Linked DNA regions of Caenorhabditis elegans. The protein of the gene in region 1 purifies or fractionates together with the protein of each later gene. This does not show direct contact. Each region holds a gene or a part of one and is shown in the gene's direction. Other genes may lie near its edges.

What was found. Proteins that work in one complex are often made in the same cells at the same time.
Region 2: the proteins of rps-17 (region 1) and eef-1B.1 fractionate together in Caenorhabditis elegans (co-fractionation; one large-scale study listed by BioGRID). This does not show direct contact.

What each region holds. Positions count from the first base shown.
Region 1 is NC_003279.8:6,217,363-6,227,319, reverse strand, and holds rps-17 (Small ribosomal subunit protein eS17), read left to right. Parts: upstream 1-6,555; 5' UTR 6,556-6,569; coding exon 6,570-6,724; intron 6,725-6,771; coding exon 6,772-6,952; intron 6,953-7,114; coding exon 7,115-7,171; 3' UTR 7,172-7,227; downstream 7,228-9,957. Other genes in the region: T08B2.4 (PINc domain-containing protein), read right to left, coding at 1,356-1,615, 1,663-1,762; T08B2.11 (HUN domain-containing protein), read left to right, coding at 4,447-4,514, 4,561-4,750, 4,800-4,889, 4,940-5,146, 5,202-5,509, 5,557-5,669, 5,717-5,910, 5,955-6,035; rbm-5 (RNA-binding protein 5), read right to left, coding at 7,483-7,625, 7,671-8,004, 8,064-8,344, 8,394-8,756, 8,805-8,967, 9,011-9,090, 9,136-9,252, 9,296-9,502 and 3 more.
Region 2 is NC_003281.10:7,968,365-7,978,451, reverse strand, and holds eef-1B.1 (putative elongation factor 1-beta/1-delta 1), read left to right. Parts: upstream 1-5,065; 5' UTR 5,066-5,181; coding exon 5,182-5,258; intron 5,259-5,376; coding exon 5,377-5,807; intron 5,808-5,854; coding exon 5,855-5,988; 3' UTR 5,989-6,070; downstream 6,071-10,087. Other genes in the region: C06G4.4 (uncharacterized protein), read left to right, coding at 759-1,085, 1,140-1,202; aco-2 (putative aconitate hydratase, mitochondrial), read right to left, coding at 1,494-1,759, 1,833-2,354, 2,414-3,536, 3,606-3,864, 4,520-4,605, 4,650-4,727; F54H12.5 (uncharacterized protein), read left to right, coding at 6,350-6,483, 6,528-6,722, 7,300-7,600, 7,644-8,027; F54H12.7 (ADP-ribosylation factor-like protein 6-interacting protein 4), read right to left, coding at 8,219-8,512, 8,948-9,091; F54H12.8 (Envelope glycoprotein B), read left to right, coding at 9,277-9,348, 9,456-9,872, 9,938-10,087. UniProt on the Caenorhabditis elegans protein: EF-1-beta and EF-1-delta stimulate the exchange of GDP bound to EF-1-alpha to GTP.

The sequences.
Region 1 (9,957 bases):
GACGAAAACCTGAGGTCTAGTAGAACCCCTAAGTTCAAAAAAACGAATTCACTTCGGATACCTATATCTCCGTGGAAAAATATTTCATGACTATGTGATCAACTATAAAGTTGTTCATTTTAATCTAAAGTGCAATTTTGTAGTTGAGTGTTTCTTATAAAAACATTTGTTGGTCGAGATAAAGTAGTGTTAAGGTCGAGATAAAGTAAATTTTTTTCAGATTTTTTTTCTGAAAAACATCGAAAATCGAAAAATGGCACCTTTTTTTGGTTGCCATTTTGGTTCATACTATATCGAACGCAACGAATTTGACAAGAAATTTTGTAGCAACAACAATGTAAACATATTTCTACAAAATCTGATGAATATTTGATAATTTTTGAAATAACTTTTCCGATTTTTTGAGAAAAAAATACCGTGCAAAACTTTCGAAAAAGTTGTTTTTTAGAAATTTCTCAAATATTGATCAGATGTTAAAGAGAAGTGCAAAATTTGATGTTAGTCCAGATCTAATGTTCAGAACACGAGTTCATATTCCGGCAAATCGGCAAATTGCCGGAATTGAAATATTCCGGCAAATCGGCAATTTGCCGAATTTGTCGACAAATCAATTTGCCGAACGGCAATTGCCGCCCACCCTTGATTCATATAAAAAACGTAGGTATGTTAGAACTGGTATGATGTAAAATAAGATCAGCCTATATCTCCGTGCGAAAAATTTCTATAACAAAATGACCAACTAAAATTTGGTAGTTCTCATTGTGAAGAACAACTTTGTAGTGAAAAGCTTTCCACCAAAAAATTGCTGACCGATATAAAACTGCTTGAAGTGTGTAACTTCATGTTTAAATTGTGTTCCTATTGTAATATTTATATCTCGGTCAGAAAATTTTTGATAGAAAACGTACAAGGTTAAAAAACGAAATTTCATTTTGTCATTTTGTCATAGAAATTTTTTTTACAGAGATATACACTTAACAAGTGAACTGGTTTTACAAAATACCAGTTCTACTAATCGTGTTCTGAACATGGAGTAACAACAAGTTTTGCACTTTTCTATAAATCAATATTTGAAGTTGTTGAAAAAAATTATGAAAATTTTTATCAAATATTATAGTCTCATGTTTACTTAGTTGTTTCTGTGCAATTTCTGGTAAAATTCGTTGCTTTCATATTATTTCGATTTTTCGATGTTTTTTCAGTGAAAATAGAAAAATCGAAAATCGAAAAAAATTTATTTGAAACGGAAAAAGGGAAAAAATAGTTTTAAAAAGTGTTAATAATTTTTAGAGATGGAGCAATTTCAAAAGTAGAAGAAAAACACAAATTCGAAGGCAATGTTTAAAACCTCGAATTCAATATTGGTATGCTAGATTTGTGACAGATTTTGCAAGAAAAGCCTCGGAAATTTTTTTATGGTTACAATTTTTCGAATAGCATTTTTTTTGATTTTTAAAAAATTTACCACGTAATCCAATTGACTCGTAGCGATTCCTCGAAAGCACCATGATCCGGTGTGGTTGGAGATGGGTGGTGGGAGATGACTCTGAACGCATGCGGCGATCCGTGAATACTTTCTTCGAGTGTTCCATACACGATTGAATGTATTCGTATACTGCAATATGAAGAGCGATGGAATGAACAAGGTTTCTAATAACTTACCTGACAGATCCACTCTTTGTGCCAAATAATGATCCGCCTCAAACGGATCATTTGTCAACACGAGAGTCAGTTCGACTTGTTGAAGATAGTGAATAAGCATCACAATCCAAGCATATGAAGTTAGGGATCCATTTGATACATCTTCAACTCCACATCGCCTTGCCAGGGCCTTCAGCCAAACTCCGAGAGTCAGTAGTTGTTCGGGATCCTACTTGAAGAATTGTTGTAAAAGCTGAGTATTGTTGAGAGTCAAATCATTCTTGTAACTGATGCGCGTTTGAGCTTTTCCAGCGGTTCTTGTTGAAATATAAATTTTGAGTAAGAATCAACAAAGTAAAAAAAATGCAATTACGAGGAGGCGTAAAGTTCAATCAAATAAATGTTCAAAAGCATGATGAAAGTTTTCATAAAAGATATATCGTAATTTCGCAACATTTTGAAATTTCACTTAAAAGGGGGCACTCGGTTTTTCTCCCGACGATATATTAAACAGGATTACGCGTAATTTTCTATTAAAATTTGAAAGATTAAAACATGATTAAACTGTTTTATCAGTGCAAAACGGGAAACTGAACAAAATACCGTACTTTAGAACTAGACGCGAAAGCTGTTTCCTGAGTCATCGGCAAAACAACTGAAGTTTCGACTATTTTTAAATGTTACAGTCAGTAAATCAATGTTTTTACAGACGTCGAAATATATGTTTCAAGACAAAAATTCTAAAAAATCTAGCAAAATCACTTCAAAAAATGAATAAAATTCAAAATCGATGAATATCGAAATGTTAATTAATTAATCGTCCGAGAGGATTACACGAGTTGTCCGAGAGAAGTACACGGCGGAGAATGAAAATCTTTCCGCGCGAGATTTAAATTCGAATTTTATACAATAAATTTCAAGCAAAAAACTTTCAAATTATCTAATCACAAAAACTCAGCGGAAAATTTTCCGAAGATAGAGAAGGTGGAAACCTTAATTTCTTCAGTAACAATTTAAAACAGAACATTGAACGGAATTGGAATGAATTATCGTTTTTTTCAGCAAAAATTCGTTTTTAGGTTCACTCCAGATAAATATCGTGACTTTTCACAACGGAAAAACAATGAAAAACAGGGGAATTACAAAATAAACTGCGAAAAATAAAATAAATTGCCTAAAATATTTGTATCGATTATTGTTCCTTCTTTTTCGCCAATCGTGTTTCACGCATGCTACATGCATGCGTGGCGAAAAGGGAGGCACTTTCGCCTCTCGTGCGTCACGCATGCTTCACACATGCGTCCGAGGCTCGCTTTTCGCTACGCGTCCAATACGCGCCTCATACGCGCCTCAAAGCGTCACGCATGAAACGCGAATCACCTGTGTGGTGGTGGTGGCGCGCGTTGTTTCTTCGATAAGTTAAGGAAAATTAGATGAACTGAGTAGAGGGAATGTATTTTGAAGTCTTGAACGGCTTGATATCAAGGTTTTTCATTTGAAAAAGTTTGTTAACCGCTTTCGTTAATCTTAGCCTCTCCTCTCTCTAACCAATAGAAGAGAACAAAGATTTTTTTAGTCTCAGAAAATTTGGAAAAGAGTTTTTTCTAAAAAAAAAAATCGTTAAATCATACTTTTTGGTTGCTGGAAGTGTGAATTAAAGTATTTTGTATCAAAATGTAAATGCTAGGAAAAGTAATTATATTTAACTATGGTCTGCGGGTTGGCACAAAACAGACGTAAAATACAAAATTCATGAAAACTTTAAAAGTACGGTATTGACTGTTTCCGCTTTTCGCAGCAAGAGCTCTAGTATCATTTGTGTGAAATGATATAATTTTTCCACAAATTATACCGAAAAAAGTAATGGTTTGTAGGAGTTAATTTAAATTAATAGAATATGTTATTTCGTTGTTTGTAACCATCGAAGTTGTCACAGTTGTAGCCGTGAAATTTCTTGCCGGATTTTGAAAAAAAAAAGTGTTTCTGAAAAAAACATTACCAGTTGGAGACTTTTCGGAGATTCGTCAAAGTCAGTCAGCGGACATCATCTTTAGATTATTATTTGCAGGAGATAATTCTTATTTTCAAATCATAATTTTATTTTAAAACTTTTTAAAGGTCTTCAATTTTAATTTAAAAAATTTTAAGCCCTACGCGTTTGCACTTTCCGTTTTCTTCTTATTTATTTATTTATTTTAATACGCCCATTTCTCGTGAGATTTCTAATCCAATATGGTCGAAATCTAATCAAATATGGCTGAGATCGTGCCATATTGGATTAGATTTCGACCATATTGGATTAGATTTGTTTTCTAATGAAATATGGAGGAAATCTAATCTAACATGGATTTCTAATCTAATCTACTATGGAGCAAATTTAATGCAATATGGATTTTCTAAACAAATATGGTTGAAATCTCGTTTAATATGGTTGAAATCTAATTAAGCTACTAAGCGTTTGTCTGAGTAAGTAAAATGAATAAGTACGAAATAGTATTGAAAACTAGGAGGGCGCAGAGAAAAATTTTCAGATAGCGATTTCAGGGGTTCAGAGTTGAGTTCCGCCGCTGAAATTTTTGTGGTGATCTAGTCTAAACATAAGCTTCCAAATGACATACGTCTCAATTTAAAGTCCGGGACTAGATTGGCTTCCTTTCCTTGTTAGGTATAATTAGTTAAAAGTTCAGAAACACGTGAAATTTATTTCCGAGAGAAAAAAACCCAAATCCGTAAAAGAAGTAATCATCTTTTGAATAATTCATTTCGCATTACGTTATTATTTTTTCAAAATTCTAATTCGTTATCATGACTTCTGTCAATCCTCCAGTCCGTCGAAGTGAAGACAAAAAAAGACGAAGAGATGGAAAAACACAGTAAGTTTCTGAAATGTTTTTTAATTTTTGTATTGAAATTTTGCAGAGCTGGTCAAAAGCGTACTTCTAGTATTCCCTCAAAATCTTCAAGTGGTGGTCTGGTGACTCCTCCTCCTCCAGTAATTGCTCCGCCTGTCGTGGTTTTACCAGTTCTGCTCCAGGCAAATCTGATAAAAGATCCTGTTGCCATGTCTCCTAATGTACCAGTGAAGGAAGGGAAAGCCACTCGTAGAAAAGTAACATGATGTGAACAGAGATTATGAAATTAATTATGTTTAATTTCAGGAGAAATCAATCGAAAAAAAAGAACATGAGCAGCCTAAGACTACACACCGCAAAAAGAAGAGCTCCCTATCAGCATCACTTGAAGGAAAAGTGAGCCAATCATCTATTTTTTCATGTTTTTATATTTATAAAATTGCCAGACATCAGGCGAAAACGAAGCGCCGAAAGCGGAGCAGAAAAAGTCTTCAACGGAATCTGGTAAGAAGCAGGTAGATCTAAATTCGGATGGATCAAAAGAGCCACCAGAAGAAGAAAAAAACAAACAAAAGTTAAACAAAGATTTGGCCAAACATTTTTTCAAGCATATTCAAGAGTCACATAAGTCGCGGAAGAAAGCAGATGATAGGGTATGTAATTTAAAACTTGTGAATATATGTAATTAAATATCAAATTGTATTTCAGCGTATAGAAGTCATGCCCGAATCGAGTCAACTAAATGTTTCTGCAAGATCTCTTCGGAAAAAGACTCAGAAAAAGCCAAAAACAGTCCTTGATTTGGAAATCTTCAAACCAAATGGAGAGCCTGTATGGGTGACTGACAAGCCGCCTAGTGAATGTGAAAAGGATGAGGACGGAGTAATAATCACAAACCCAGAATTGGCAGCTGCTCTTGCAGAAGATAATTTGGAAATGGATGAAAGGAAATATCTGGATTATGTGGAGGATTATATGTCGTGTGCAATGCCTAGAGGTCCAGCTTTACCAGAAAAGTAAGTTTATTTTTTTAATTGTCGTTTCTCAATTAATCATCTTTCAGCCATCAATTCGATCCACTCGCTACAGTTGAGAAGTTAGCGTCTAATAGTGAGTATGTTACTCAGGATACAGTAACCTATAACACTGTTAAAAATTTGTTCGATTTGAGTGAAGGTAACATAAACTGTCAGTTTTCAATCAAAATCCTCGACCTTCTTCAGATGCGATTAAACGGTTTGCTATGAAACGAGATGGACTGGATGAAAGAGCAAGAGGCATTAAAGAAATTACGGCTTCCGAAACACCAAGTACTACATCCATTGTTCCACCAAAGGATCCGGATCAGATTCAGCAGAAGACAGCTTTGACGTCGATTACATTTAATCTAATCAATAATATCGTTTTACACTATGATGTGAGTTTTTCCGTGCATTTTAAAAACAATATTTCGATTTTCAGCGCCATCATCCTATTGCCTCAATTCAAAAATGCCGCAAGAAAATCGAGCAGTGTACTCAACCGTCAATGAATAATCCATAGCTGATGACTGTTTTTCTTCTAAAATAAACGCATCTTATTCAATTTTTTGTTCAATCATATATCTTATTTCGGAATTTTACGACATAATTGTTCCTTCGGCTATTTTTTCATTTTAACACGAGGAATCTTTTTTAATCTTTCCCAATTTTTTCTAACTTCCTGAAAAATTCACCAACCAGTTCACAATTGTGCACAAGGCAAATCTCAAAACTTTGCAAAAGAATTGGAAGAGAAATTAAAGGCGCGATAATTTACGGCGTGTGGTCTCAAAGCGGCAAACACACACGCGAAACAAGTGTTACCGTATTCCACCACAGCCTCCTCTTCTGTTTTCTACATCAATCCTAAACTTTTTCGAGTTTTTAGCTGGAATTTCGTTTTTCTGTTGAACAAAAAGTCAATTTATATCAATTAATTTTTTTCTCATTCGACCTGTTCATCTATTACGTTGCGCTTCTTCGTACTTCGTTTTTATCTGTATAGTAATGTCGTTTTACATTTAAAAAATTAACTTTTCCAGAACTTCGGTTAAACATGAGTCGTGTTCGTACCAAGACCGTCAAGAAGGCTTCCCGTGTCCTCATCGAGAAGTACTACACTCGCATGACCAATGACTTCCATAACAACAAGCGCGTCTGTGACGAGGTTGCCATCATCGGAAGCAAGCCACTCAGAAACAAGATCGCTGGGTAACTCACAATTCATAATTTTTTTTCATTCAATTTCTCCATTCCAGATACATCACTCACTTGATGAGACGTATCGAGAGAGGACCAGTCAGAGGTATCTCCATCAAGCTTCAAGAAGAGGAGCGTGAGCGCAGAGACAACTACATGCCAGAGATCTCCACTGTTGATCCATCTCAACTCACCTCCATCAAGGTTGACACTGATACCAGCGACATGCTCAAGGCCGCTGTAAGTTTTCAAAAAATTAAGATTCAGTTATGGGAGTCCTGAAAGCTGCTTTGCCGGTTTTCAGGCTTTCCCTATCCAAAACGCTCGTTCGAGTGTTTCAGTTCGGTATGTCGAGGCGTTACCGGACGGAAAATATTTAAAATAAAATCCTCGTCATTTCAGGGATTCAACCTTCCAAACGTCACCGTTGAGGATCAAGGAAAGAACAAGGGAAAGTAAATATTCCCTGTGTTTAATTGTTATTGTTGTGGTGGATAATAAATATTTAATCTGCCAAAATGTGTTCTTTTTACATAGCTGATCAATTTCCAGATATATCGAGACTTGATGTCATTCCTGGATGAATCGTCTAATGGTGTTAAACCTGATTTGATTAGTGGTCTCTTTGTCGTATTAGAGTGGATGAGTTCATCCAGTTGTTGAAAAAATGTTCTTATTGTGAAGAAAAACTAATTCGTAGGCTATTAGATTTTATTTTATTTAACGGAAAACAAATAGTACACTGAAGGCGAAACATAAACTTTAGGAACTTAAGCGTCGTGATAACGACTGTAGAGTGCTTGCCGCGTCTTCTCTTTGTGACTCGCTTCTGCACCATGTCTCATTTTGGATCCAGCAGCACCCAAACCTGCTCCTTGAACAAATCGTTCAGCTTCAATCGGGTTAACAATACCTGAGAAAAACCATAATATCAAGCTTGTAAGCAATGTAGATTTACCTTGTGCATGCTTTCCAACTCCTTGTCCTTCTTTCCAGCCCATACTTTTCAGCAGTCTATTTCCGATGTTTGATTCGTCTAATGGGCGCTTCGAAGCTTCCTCACTAACTTTTCGGATGGTCTCTTCATGTCTCACCGATGTGGGTCCTGGCGGCCCACCCATCACATCGAATGCATAACCAGTGGAATCAATCCCGAACTGACGACGACGTTCTTTGGCTCTGTCCCTGTAAACGATCTTAGGGAGATCTGGAGCTGAAGCATCTTCTTCTTCTTCTTGTAATTTAGCAGCTGTTTCTCGTCCCCATTCGGCTCGCTTCGCTTCCAAATTGTTCTAAAAAAACTTTAACTAAGATTCCTGTCTAAGAACAAGGAAATAACTTTTAAACATACTCTATGCAAATCACTTTTTTCAACATGTTTCCGAAGTACTTCAACATCAGAGAATGCTCGTTTGCAGAGCATACATGTTTTCTTCGTTTCATCGTAAAGTGCTCTTTCCATAGCATCTCTAACATCTTGAAGAGTGGATTTCCGAGGAGCAAGTGGAACAGATGAAAATGAGGATGAAGTAGACGGTTCTTCAGAACGACGACCCCGAACTTCTTCCTCTTGATCCTCTTCTTCGTCATCATCAAAAAGTGCTGCAGTCTGTGCTATTCTTTTCTGTTTCTCTGAAAATGTTATTGATAAAAAGAAAATAGTTAAAATAAAGGCCATTACCATTAGAAAATACATTTTTCAATTCAATTCCTTTCGTCTCTTTTCCTTTTATAGAAATTTGAACTTTCTTTTTGTCTTTTTCTTGTCTCTTAGCCCATTTTGCCATATCTTTCACTAAATCCTGAGCTGTTTTTGGCCCTTCTTCGTTTTTCTTCATCTTTTCCTCTTCGGGGTCAGCTGAATTGATTACAGCTGGGGTTTCAACTGGGAAATAAGTATGATGAGTAAGATCCCAATTACACCATTGTGAAGTTGCATTATTGAAATAATAACCAGTTGCTGAATCGTAACAGAATTTTGTGATTGGATCTACGTAATACCCAAGATTCGGATCATGAGCGAATGTAAGCGGATTGGGTGGTACTGAAATGTTAATAATAATTGAAAATTAATATTTGAGCTTTTCCATACAGTATCTTGGCAAAAGTCCTTTCGGAGTCTGGGTCATTCCAATGACTCCATTTTGATGTTCCGGTTGAGTGGCTTGCATTGGAGGTGGAACAGACAAATTTGGTGGTGGAACACTGAAGTTTGGAGGAATCATATTAGCAGCAGGTGCAGGCAATCCAGTCATCTGAAATAGAGTTTTAGAATTTTCTATTAGAAATGTAACTTACAATTTGACCAACTTGTTGACTAGCTTGGCGCACAGCATTTGCTTTAGAAAGGGCAGCTGCAGCAATTTCAGCTCCAGTCACTAAAAAATTATAAAATTTAATATATTCTCTCCCATCAAACTCACTGTTTCCTTGAGCCAGACTTCCGGTAGCCACAGAATTCTTTCCAGGTCCCGCGGTTAGCATGGTCATTTGTTGTTGAATGAGTTTTGACATTGAATCACGACACCAGGAAACTTGAACTGAAAAAATATGGTAAAATCTTGAAATCAGCAAAAAACATACCATCTTTATCCTTAATTCGAATGGGCGATTTATATGTCAAATTGAGTAACATTTTTGCTTCATCCGCACTTTTCATTTGCAAGTACGCAAACCTTTTGGATTCCGACAATTTGATCATGCTAATCGAACTGAGACAAACCAGAGCACCGAGACTATCAAAAATAAGACTATTATTGATACCATCAGGAAGACCACGAATTAGAAGAGCTGAAAAATCAATTTGAATGTGTATGACAACTAAAGAAATTTCACGGACTGTCGCAAGGTGTCATTCCGACCATATGTGCTCCGAGTTTCTCAAGCTCCATTGACTGATCCTTTGAAATTTCACACTTGAAGCAGGTTTGACGCTTTACAAAATTGTTCATAGAGCACTGAAATTTGTTCATATTTTGATAATAGCTCAATTTTCTCGCGTACATGAGCACAAATCCAATCATCCCCTTTGTTTCCGGATCCAGCAGCAGGATCTCCCTTCGCATATTCTACAGCCAGAGTTCTTCCGTCATCCAGAGTCAACCATCCCTGAAAAGCGGATTTTGCATATAATTCAACTGAAAACCGTTTTGTACCTCGTAATCCGTCATCCACTGTTCTGCAGTTTCTCGATTAGAGAACTCAACAAAAGCAAAAGTACGAATTTGTTTTGTATTTTTATCGAA
Region 2 (10,087 bases), on another chromosome or scaffold:
AAACTTTTAATGGCGAACAAAATATTTTGGAAGGCGCATGACAAGCGAACTATTTACCAAATCTTAAATAAAATCAAAAATGCATGTATTCTGGGTCAAGTTTTTTGAGAGTGGTAGATTGCGGCAACAAACAAATAGACACTGACGACTAACGGGACACAACACACTTTACAACTTAAAATGAAAAGGCGGGAAAATAAAAGGGGAGGAAGAAGAATTAGAGAACACAAAAAGTGTTTAAAAGATCATTTGGCTTGATTGAAACATGAGAAAATTCTTTCAAAAAGTGCACGACTTTAGAAAAAATAATTAAATTGATAACATTATAATATTTTTAAAAATAATATGAAATAAATACTGAAATTCAATAAATTTCTAGCAAAGAAAACGCAAAAAACAAACAATCAAATCAATGTTTCGGCCGACGAGTCTCGCAACGAAAACATAGCAATGAACGAATGTTGTCTGTGCCTTTAAAAAGTACCGTAGTCAAATAAAATATCAAGCCTAGAATGAGTTCGAGATTGCAATTCACCAATGATTAGATGCAGAATATAAAAACAAACATTTAAAAATTAATCACGCGAAAAAGTATATTTCCTACGTAAAGTTTATAATATTCGGTTCAATTACTTCATCATAAAATATTCAGTTCTTCGTTTTTTATCACTCAATACAAGCTAATTGAAAAGGTGAATTTATTGGATTTATTTTTCTTTCCTAATTTTTTCTAACTTGCAGCTGAATCCACTTCGATAATGTCAGAAGCACCGAAGAGAAGCGAAAAATCTGCTGATTATAAAAAAGCGGTGGCAAAACAGCGACGCATTAAGAAACTTCGCAAAATGAAGATTAAAGATAGAGCTGGTGACGTGGTTGTCAGTGATATTTCTGACGTTGAAGTTGTTGGAAATGGTGATGAAGAATCACAGGATGATTGGTTGAATGATCTTCTGAAGAGTGATGGTGATGGTGGAAAAGCCGGACCGGTTGATCCTTCGCATCCAATGGAAACCACAACAACTGATCATTCTTCACAAAACACTCTGGCATCAAAGATCTGTGCATTCACTTATGATAACTCGGTAAATTTGGATTTAGCTTTCATTTGAGTATACTCCAATCAGTTTATTTTAAAGGCTCTTCTTGGCGTTGGAATCGTCACGGTGGCCCTCAGTATCTTCGCCCGTCTTCGTAAATGATCAATAAATGAACAAGAATAAATAGTTGTGTCTTTTCATGGAAATAAGAATCAATTACAAAAAAACGAAAACGAAACAAAACAATATCTACTCATACATAAAAACAATCTCATGGAGGTTGTGATGACTACTATGGGAAAATTGGGAATGAACTGAAGTATTTAGAAAATGTTTTTCACTTCTCTAATGAATTTTCAAAATACTTCAATTCAGTATACATTACATTACAGTTTGTTGAAAATGAGTATTTACTACAGGTTTTGAAGAGAAAATAGTTTTCCAATGAAACATTTATTTGCTCTTTGCGAATACTTCCTTCATTCTGTTGAGGGCAGATCCGGCCTTGAACCACTCGATTTGTTGCTCGTTGAAGGTGTGATTCAAGGTCACTTCCACCTTTGATCCATTGGTCTTCTTGAAAATAGCCGTAAGTGGCTTTCCTGGAGCAAAACTGGAGAGTCCGACGATAGAAACATTGTCTGATGGATCGATTTTGTCGTAGTCAGCTGGGTTGGCAAATGTGAGTGGGAGCATTCCTTGTTTCTTCAAGTTCGTCTCTGAAAAAAATAAGTTATGGCGCGTTGAGGAAATAAGCAAGGTAAATTTTATTTATTTTGAAGACTAACTGACCGTGAATACGGGCGAAGGATTTCACGATGATAGCTCTTCCTCCAAGATGACGTGGCTCAAGAGCAGCATGTTCGCGAGATGAACCCTCTCCGTAGTTCTCGTCTCCGATAGCAACCCATCTAACTCCATCAGCCTTGTATTTGCGGGCAGTGGCTGGAACGGCTCCATATTCTCCAGTAACTTGGTTCTTGACCTTGTTCATCTCTCCGTTGTCAGCATTGATAGCCGTAAGGAAAAGATTATTCGAAATGTTGTCCAAATGTCCACGATATTTGAGCCATGGTCCAGCAGCAGAAATGTGATCAGTAGTACATTTTCCGGTAACCTTGATGAGGATCTTCATATCTTCGAGGTCCTTTCCATCCCACTTGTCGAATGGAGACAAAAGTTGAAGACGATCAGAAGATGGAGATACATCAACCTGTCCGCTTCCAGATGGGGCTTGGAATGTGTCCTCTCCTGGATCGTAACCCTTTGGTGGAAGGTCGAGTCCAGTTGGAGCCTGGAGTTTGAATTTGCTTCCTGAAATGATAAACGAGGTTGAGTAATGAAAAAATATAACTATTCAAAATGTTACTAACCATCAGCGGCGGTGAGCTCATCAGTAAGTGGATTGAAGTCAAGACGTCCGGAGATGGCCATAGCAGTTGTGATATCTGGAGAAGTAACGAAACCGTGAGTGGCTGGGTTCGCATCATTTCTTCCGGTGAAGTTACGGTTGTATGATGTGACAATTGTGTTTTTTTCTCCCTTCTTCACATCCTGACGATCCCATTGTCCAATACATGGTCCACAGGCATTTGCGAGAACCATTCCTCCGAAATCAGCGAAAATCTTGGAGAGTCCGTCTCTTTCAATAGTGGCACGGACTTGCTCGGATCCTGGGGTGATGGTGAAAATGGTCTTAGCCTTGAGTCCCTTATCAAGAGCTTGTTTGGCAATGGAAGCAGCACGGGTCATGTCTTCGTATGAAGAGTTGGTGCATGATCCGATAAGTGAGACCTTTACATCGAGTGGCCATCCGTTCTTCTTGGCGTTTTCTCCAAGTTTGTCGATGGAAGAGGCAAGATCTGGAGTGAATGGTCCGTTGACATGTGGAGTAAGAGTGTCGAGGTTGATCTCGATGATTTGATCATAGTTAGCTCCATCGTCAGCAGTGAGGAGATCTTTGTACTTTCTGGCTTCTTCGGCGATTTCTTTACGTCCAGTAGCTTCCAGATACTTGTACATGCTCTCGTTGTATGGGAAGACAGATGTCGTAGCTCCGATTTCGGCTCCCATGTTGCAGATGGTTCCCATTCCAGTTGCAGAAATAGAATCCACTCCTGGGCCGAAATACTCAACAATAGCTCCAGTTCCTCCTTTGACAGTGAGGATATCAGCAACCTTCAAGATAACGTCCTTGGCAGAAGTCCATCCGTTGAGCTTTCCAGTGAGTTTGATTCCAATGACCTTCGGGCACTTGAGCTCCCATGGAATATCAGCCATAACATCTACAGCATCGGCTCCACCAACTCCAATACAAAGTCCTCCAAGTCCTCCTCCGTTAGGTGTGTGAGAATCAGTTCCGATGAGAAGAAGTCCTGGGAAAGCGTAGTTCTCAAGAATGATTTGATGGATAATTCCAGATCCTGGCTTCCAGAATCCAACTCCATATTTGCTTCCAGCAGTAGCAAGGAAGTTGAAGACTTCTTTGTTGAGGTCCTAGAAATCGAAATATATTTAGGGTGAAGAAAATTTAAGTAAAATAATTTTTTCGCAAATATCACAAACCTTAGCACGGGCCAAATCTTGGGCTCCACCCTTTTGAGCTTCAATCAAATGATCGCAATGAATAGTTGATGGAACAGCTGTCTTTGGAAGTCCGGAGCTGATGAATTGGAGCATAGCCATTTGAGCGGTAGCATCTTGCATAGCAACACGATCTGGACGAAGACGAAGGTATGAAACTCCTCTCTCAATATCTTGAGTTTTTGGTTGATCCAAATGTCCATAGAGAATCTTTTCGGAAAGCGTCAATGGACGTTTCAATCTGAAACAATATATTTTTTGTTTTTATCAGTAGAAAAACTAAAATCTATTTTTAAAGTTTTTAGTTAGACTTAACGATGTTTCCTTCATGAGTTCAAAGTACTGTCACACGGCAAATATCACCTCGGCTTCAAAGTTCGACCAGTCTGGAGACTAGAGAATGTGGTCCACATGAATTTCTATGCAACGTTCAACTAGATAATTTTCATAATTTCTATTGTGACATCACAATTAATGACACCAGAAATTAGATTTTGCATCATCAAAAGTTGAAAAGAATAGTGATGTACACTTATGAAACTGTATTATGGTCAAAACGCCCTCTCACAACATGTTGACATTAATCAGAGAACAGAGATGGAAAAGATTCGACGTTTTCTTGGTTCTCTCAATGACGCTCTAACCCATCTTCTTATTACAACGGAACTCTGTTTGTTTCTCTCTGCGACCCTTGGCTTGTGACTGCGATTTGGGTGAGCTTTCACTATTCGAGAGTTAGAAATAACATAAAAGAACCTATAACTGAACTGTATGTGTTGTAATGTCAGTGGCGCACATGACTATTCACCATAAACATCATTAATTGTATGATAACGAACAGAAAGCAGTGAAGATACTTTGTACTTGACAAGCTAAACAAATTGAACTTTACACACCTGTCTTTCACAATCTTCACAGTCTGAGATAGTTTCTCGTACGGGAGGTACGACTTCGGCTCGAATTTACTGATTGCAACTTTGCTCTGAAAACAAAAGATTTATAATAATTATGCTTAGGTTTGAATACCCAGATGGACGAAGAGGAGTGAAGTGCGCGATAATGTGCAGGTCCAGCCAAGTGGCTCAACCGAAGAAGAGAATTCATGGTTTCTCCTGTAAATTACAGAACAATGAAAGATTTTCACAGAAATTCCTGTCCGACAAAGGGAAAGAAATAGAACCTATTTAAAAAAATTAAAAGAAAGGATAATATTCATAAACACAGGCCTAAAACTTAATTTGGAACAATTAAAAAGCTTTTCTCTGCAGTAAATAACCCCTCGGAACGAAAACAAGTGATTCCGCAGCGAACCGAAAAGAAAATGATAACGCATCGGTCAGCAGAGACGGCGTGCATGCCGAAAATGAATGGGAGGAGAAATGAAAGCGCGAAACTTGGGCGCCTCCGGTCAGCAAACACGCCATTGAATGATCACTGGCGCTATGCTCGTTTGAAGGCGCATGGGGTTTCGACAGACTTTGAGTCTCGCAACGATTTTATTCACTAACCTATTTGTAGGACTTTTAGCATCATTCCTTCGTGTTTCACTCCTGAAAAGATGGTTGCCGACGTCAAGAGCCCAGCTGGACTTGCTGCTTTCAACACTACTCTCGCCGAGCAGGCTTTTGCCACTGGGTTAGTCTTTAAATTCTGAAGTTATGCAATTTTTAGGAAAAAATGCAGAAAATAGGTGTAATCAACTCTTGTAAATTTTTCAGATAGTCTATTCATTGAAATAATTTGAAAATTATAGCTTCGTCTTGTCTGGAGAGGACGCCCAACTTTTCGCCGCTCTCGGATCCGCCCCAAACGCCTCCACCTATCCAAATGTTGCCCGTTGGTACGCTAATGTAGCTTCTTACACTGATGCTGAGCGCAAGACCTGGGCTTCCGCCGGAGGATCAGCTCCAGCTGCCGCTGCTGCTGATGGAGATGACTTCGATCTTTTCGGATCCGACGATGAGGAGGAAGATGCCGAGAAGGCAAAGATCGTTGAGGAGCGTCTCGCCGCTTACGCCGAGAAGAAGGCCAAGAAGGCTGGACCAATTGCTAAATCTTCAGTCATTCTTGATGTAAAGCCATGGGACGATGAGACCGACCTCGGAGAGATGGAGAAGCTCGTTCGTTCTATCGAGATGGACGGACTTGTCTGGGGAGGAGCTAAGCTTATCCCAATTGGATACGGTTAGTGGATTGAAATTCACACAATTAAAATTTATGTAAACTTTCAGGAATCAAGAAGCTCCAGATCATCACTGTTATCGAGGATCTCAAGGTTTCGGTTGATGACCTCATCGAGAAGATCACCGGAGACTTCGAGGATCACGTCCAATCCGTCGACATTGTCGCCTTCAACAAGATCTAGAGGAATCTTTATATTTCTTGTTATGTTTTCATCAAGATAAATGAACCCATATATTGCAAAAAATGTTACAACATTGAAAGAAACACTCTGAGCATCAATAAGAAATCCTCCCGACTACGAAAGCGAAAAAAATTGTTTTTTAAAGAACTATGATTAAATTAGAAGCACAGTTCATTCTCTTCTGAAAATCGTATGAAGTCTCATAATTGCACAAAGTTACGATATAAGAATAATTGGAAGGGGTAGACTGAAGTGGGCAGGGTCACCACTATACAGTCCAGATTCCCGTTCGCAACGAGACCATATATTTTTACCTTGTGGGAAAACCAATCGATGTTTTCTAATAGTAAGTAGACCCCGCATGCTGTTCATCTCGAGATCTCTTCTCCCCATTTTGTATTTCCAGTTATTCAAAAAAATGTCACCTTTTCGTTTATTATCACTTCCTACACTTGCTTTGAAGAATGTACTTCTTCATATAGACTTTATTGATTTGTAAGTTAATACTTTATATAATAAGACAAACACCTTGAATTCAGGTTGGAACTATCACTTGCTTCGAAAAAATGTGAAATTTACATGAAAACTTGCTGCTTAAAAATTGATTCCTTGCATTTTCATTTTCGACGTATTCAACTAAACTCAAAATCCAAATCATTAGAGTTTGATTTCAATTCTGTTGTCGATATTTCTGCGTGTTCACGAAAAGTCAAGGGCAGCCGATATGACGCATGGTAAGTGTTGGGACATATAATATATGTACATATATTTCATTCAAGTTACAATTAGGTTGGTCCTCGCTTAACATCTGAGGATTCTGGCTATTTTTTCACAATAAAAACACTGCAGAATTTTTGTGACTTTAATATTTTCGAAAACAATTATTTTCTGACGCAAAATACTAAAAAATACTGTACCCCGTCTCGACCCGACAAATTTTGTTTTGTTTTCTCGCGAGATGTTTGCGCCTTTAAAGATTACTGTAACCTGAAACTTTCGTTTCTGCGGAATTTTCAATTAATTAATTTCTATAACGTTTCTATATAAATATATGTATTTATTTAGAAACTGAAAGGCAACAGTAAGAACTATTGCCTAATATGCGAAAACGATGAAAATCCCGCAGCACCGGAAGCTTGATAGTACAGTACTCTTCAAAGGCGCATGCATTCTCGCTTTCAACAAAACTTGTCGTGTCGAGACCGTTACCGTGGTTTGGCACAAAAATCGCAGAATTTCGTGTCTGGATAATACGGAAGAAATTTCCACTCCATGTGATTTCTGAAATCTCTCTCAAAAAATTGTTTCCAGGACAAAAAATTACGATGAAAGTCGAATAATTTGTATTCCAACAAACTTCGATGAAGACATCATTGCCGTATTTCAACATTTTTGGGATTTATTTCAAATCAAAAATCTCCACTATGATGTGGTGGGATTCACTGGAGTATTCCTAAATAACACCATGGCAAGACTCCCGAGTAAATTGAAAAGTTTGGAATTTGGAGATTATTTATCTGGAAATCAGGACAATATCGACACTATCTTGAATTATTACGACATCAGTGATAATCTCAAAGTTTTTGACGAAGTTTCAAAAATACATGAAAAGGTTTGTACTAGAATATTAGTTTATAATAATTCGGAAATTACAGATGAAAAAAGTGAACAATCTCTCATTAATCTGTTTACCAAGCATTCCAATTGAAGAATTGATTCAACTTGACTGTGAAACAATAAAATTATATTGGAAAGAGAATTCAGCTATTAACGCTGTAAGATCATTAATTAGCAACTGGAAGGGTAATAAAACTCGTCTGGAACATCTGGAAATATTGGCTTCTGAAGACTGGAACTTTGATTTGGTTCTAGAAGGAATGAATGCAAAACCATGGAATCCCAGAAGAAGACCATCCAATTATCAAAAAGAAGATTTAAACATTGACTGTACCAGTTATATGGACATAGAGGGAGATTGCCAAATTGCATCTATTGGAATAAGAGAAAACAGATATTTGGACTTCATTGTATGGTTTTAATGAATTTACTCATTTTTCTAATTCCTCAATTATAACTGTTCTTGAAATATCTATCTCAAAATAATTTTCGAACTTTTGATGTTCCTTCACATTTCTCATTTAGTTAGTAATGTTAAAAAACTCAAAAATTGGTTTCAGTATCAAATAAAACATTTTATTCTCTTCATAGCATTTCAAAATCGTCTAGTTCTTCAATTAGCTTTCTTTCCAGTGAATGGGCATTTTGCTCCAGCTTTTCCCTTTTTAACAATAAAATAAGTTAAAACACCAGCAAGTACAACACTGGAAATAATCGGATATTTGTAGTTATCAATAAATCCAGTAATTGATTCCCATCGAGATTGTGGCTTGGCTAAAGTTCCTGGAACCAGATTGTCAAGCCATTCCGATTGAGAAATCTCGCTTCCTGATCTGATGGATACTTTCTCGACTGTTGCACATCCAGGAATGTCTTCTTTTCGTGATGCAGGTGATACTTTCGGAACCTGAAAGATGATGTATGTATTTTTAAAAATTAGTTTTGGTCTTTAAGATGAAAAATCTCATTTTCCAATTCCAAGATCTTAGATATTAATTAATCGTGATGATAATTCTTAAGGTTGTAAAAAGAGCAAAGTCAAGGAGAGAAATTGAAAATGGAAAATCCAGATGCTCTTACTGTGTACATATGTCTTTACTGTGTACATATGTGTCTAATTGAAGCATGACAGCCTACATGGCTACCCCAGTGCCTAAATGCTTTACGAGTTCCTGTTCTCCTGTGCATCATATGCGAAATAGTTTGAGAAACCGGATGGCCTACCCAAAAACGGCTCCGAATACGAAAACCCCAGAATCCGGTCAAAAACGGAAGGTCGGTTTTACCCGGTTTGCCCACTATGGGAGTAACAATTTAGTGTCTACTCAACCAAGTGCTATACCTTTTTCTGCTTCTTCTTCGACTTTCTCGGTTTGATGACAACTCCAGTATTGCCTGATCCTTCCAAATCTTCTCTTCCACTACTCGAATTTCCACTGCTCTCACTTTTCTTCGATGAAGCTGATGATTCCTTTTTTTCAGCCATTCTTGACGATGAAATTGTACCGAAATGAATTATTTTGAAACTGATTGTTCAACTTTTGATTTTAAAAAACCACGAAAAGGCGACGTGGTTTTTTTTGTATAATTAGAACAATTTATAAATAAATAATTTAAAAAATATTATTACGAATTTTATGCGGAAGAATTTTTAAATTTAAATTTCCCGCCATGTTTTCAAAGCAGTTTTCTTGTTTTTTGTTATCAATCTTCTTTGTGACCGTGTGCGTTGTGGATTTGAAGGTTAGTTTCAGTTGCATATTTTCAGTGCATATTAGACGCCTTACGCTAGAAATTTGAAAGCCATCAAGAACTTTTGAGAGATTATTCAAAAAATATAAAACTTTCAGAAACATGCACCAACTTCTCCGAATAACTCCAAAGATCCTGCAAAAAGATTCATTGGATTCAATTCATCAGGAGCTTCTCCAACTACTCCAGAAACTACCATAAGCTCGTCTGACTCTACAAATGAATCCTCATCGATCACTTCTTCGACAGATTCTTCTACAAATTCGATGCTGCCTGAAACATCAACAATTGATCCAGGATCACAATCGTCTAGCTATTCTGGAAATTCTTTGACTGCATCATCTACAACAAGTGACCCATCAATTCCAAACCCAACACGTAAACGAATCACAAGACAACCAAATTATCCTCCATGGCAACCTCATCAACCATCAAATCCTAATCCTCCTCCATTTTCGATGAATGTTCCAGACTTTCATTGTTTTATTGATGAGAAGATGAGAGCAGAAGTTGAAGTGAGTACTTTTTATATGTTATAGAAGCAATAGAAACATTTTTTAGTTTACCCTATATTTTCCAGATATTCCATGTAATTGGCGTTCGAAATTTTGATGCTCGGTTTATGATATCTACACCACCTACCCAATTCCGTTTTTCATTTTTCGAAAAACACGGGACACCATCAGCAGTATATTCTCACTCTGATATTACTACAAATTCACCTGATCCT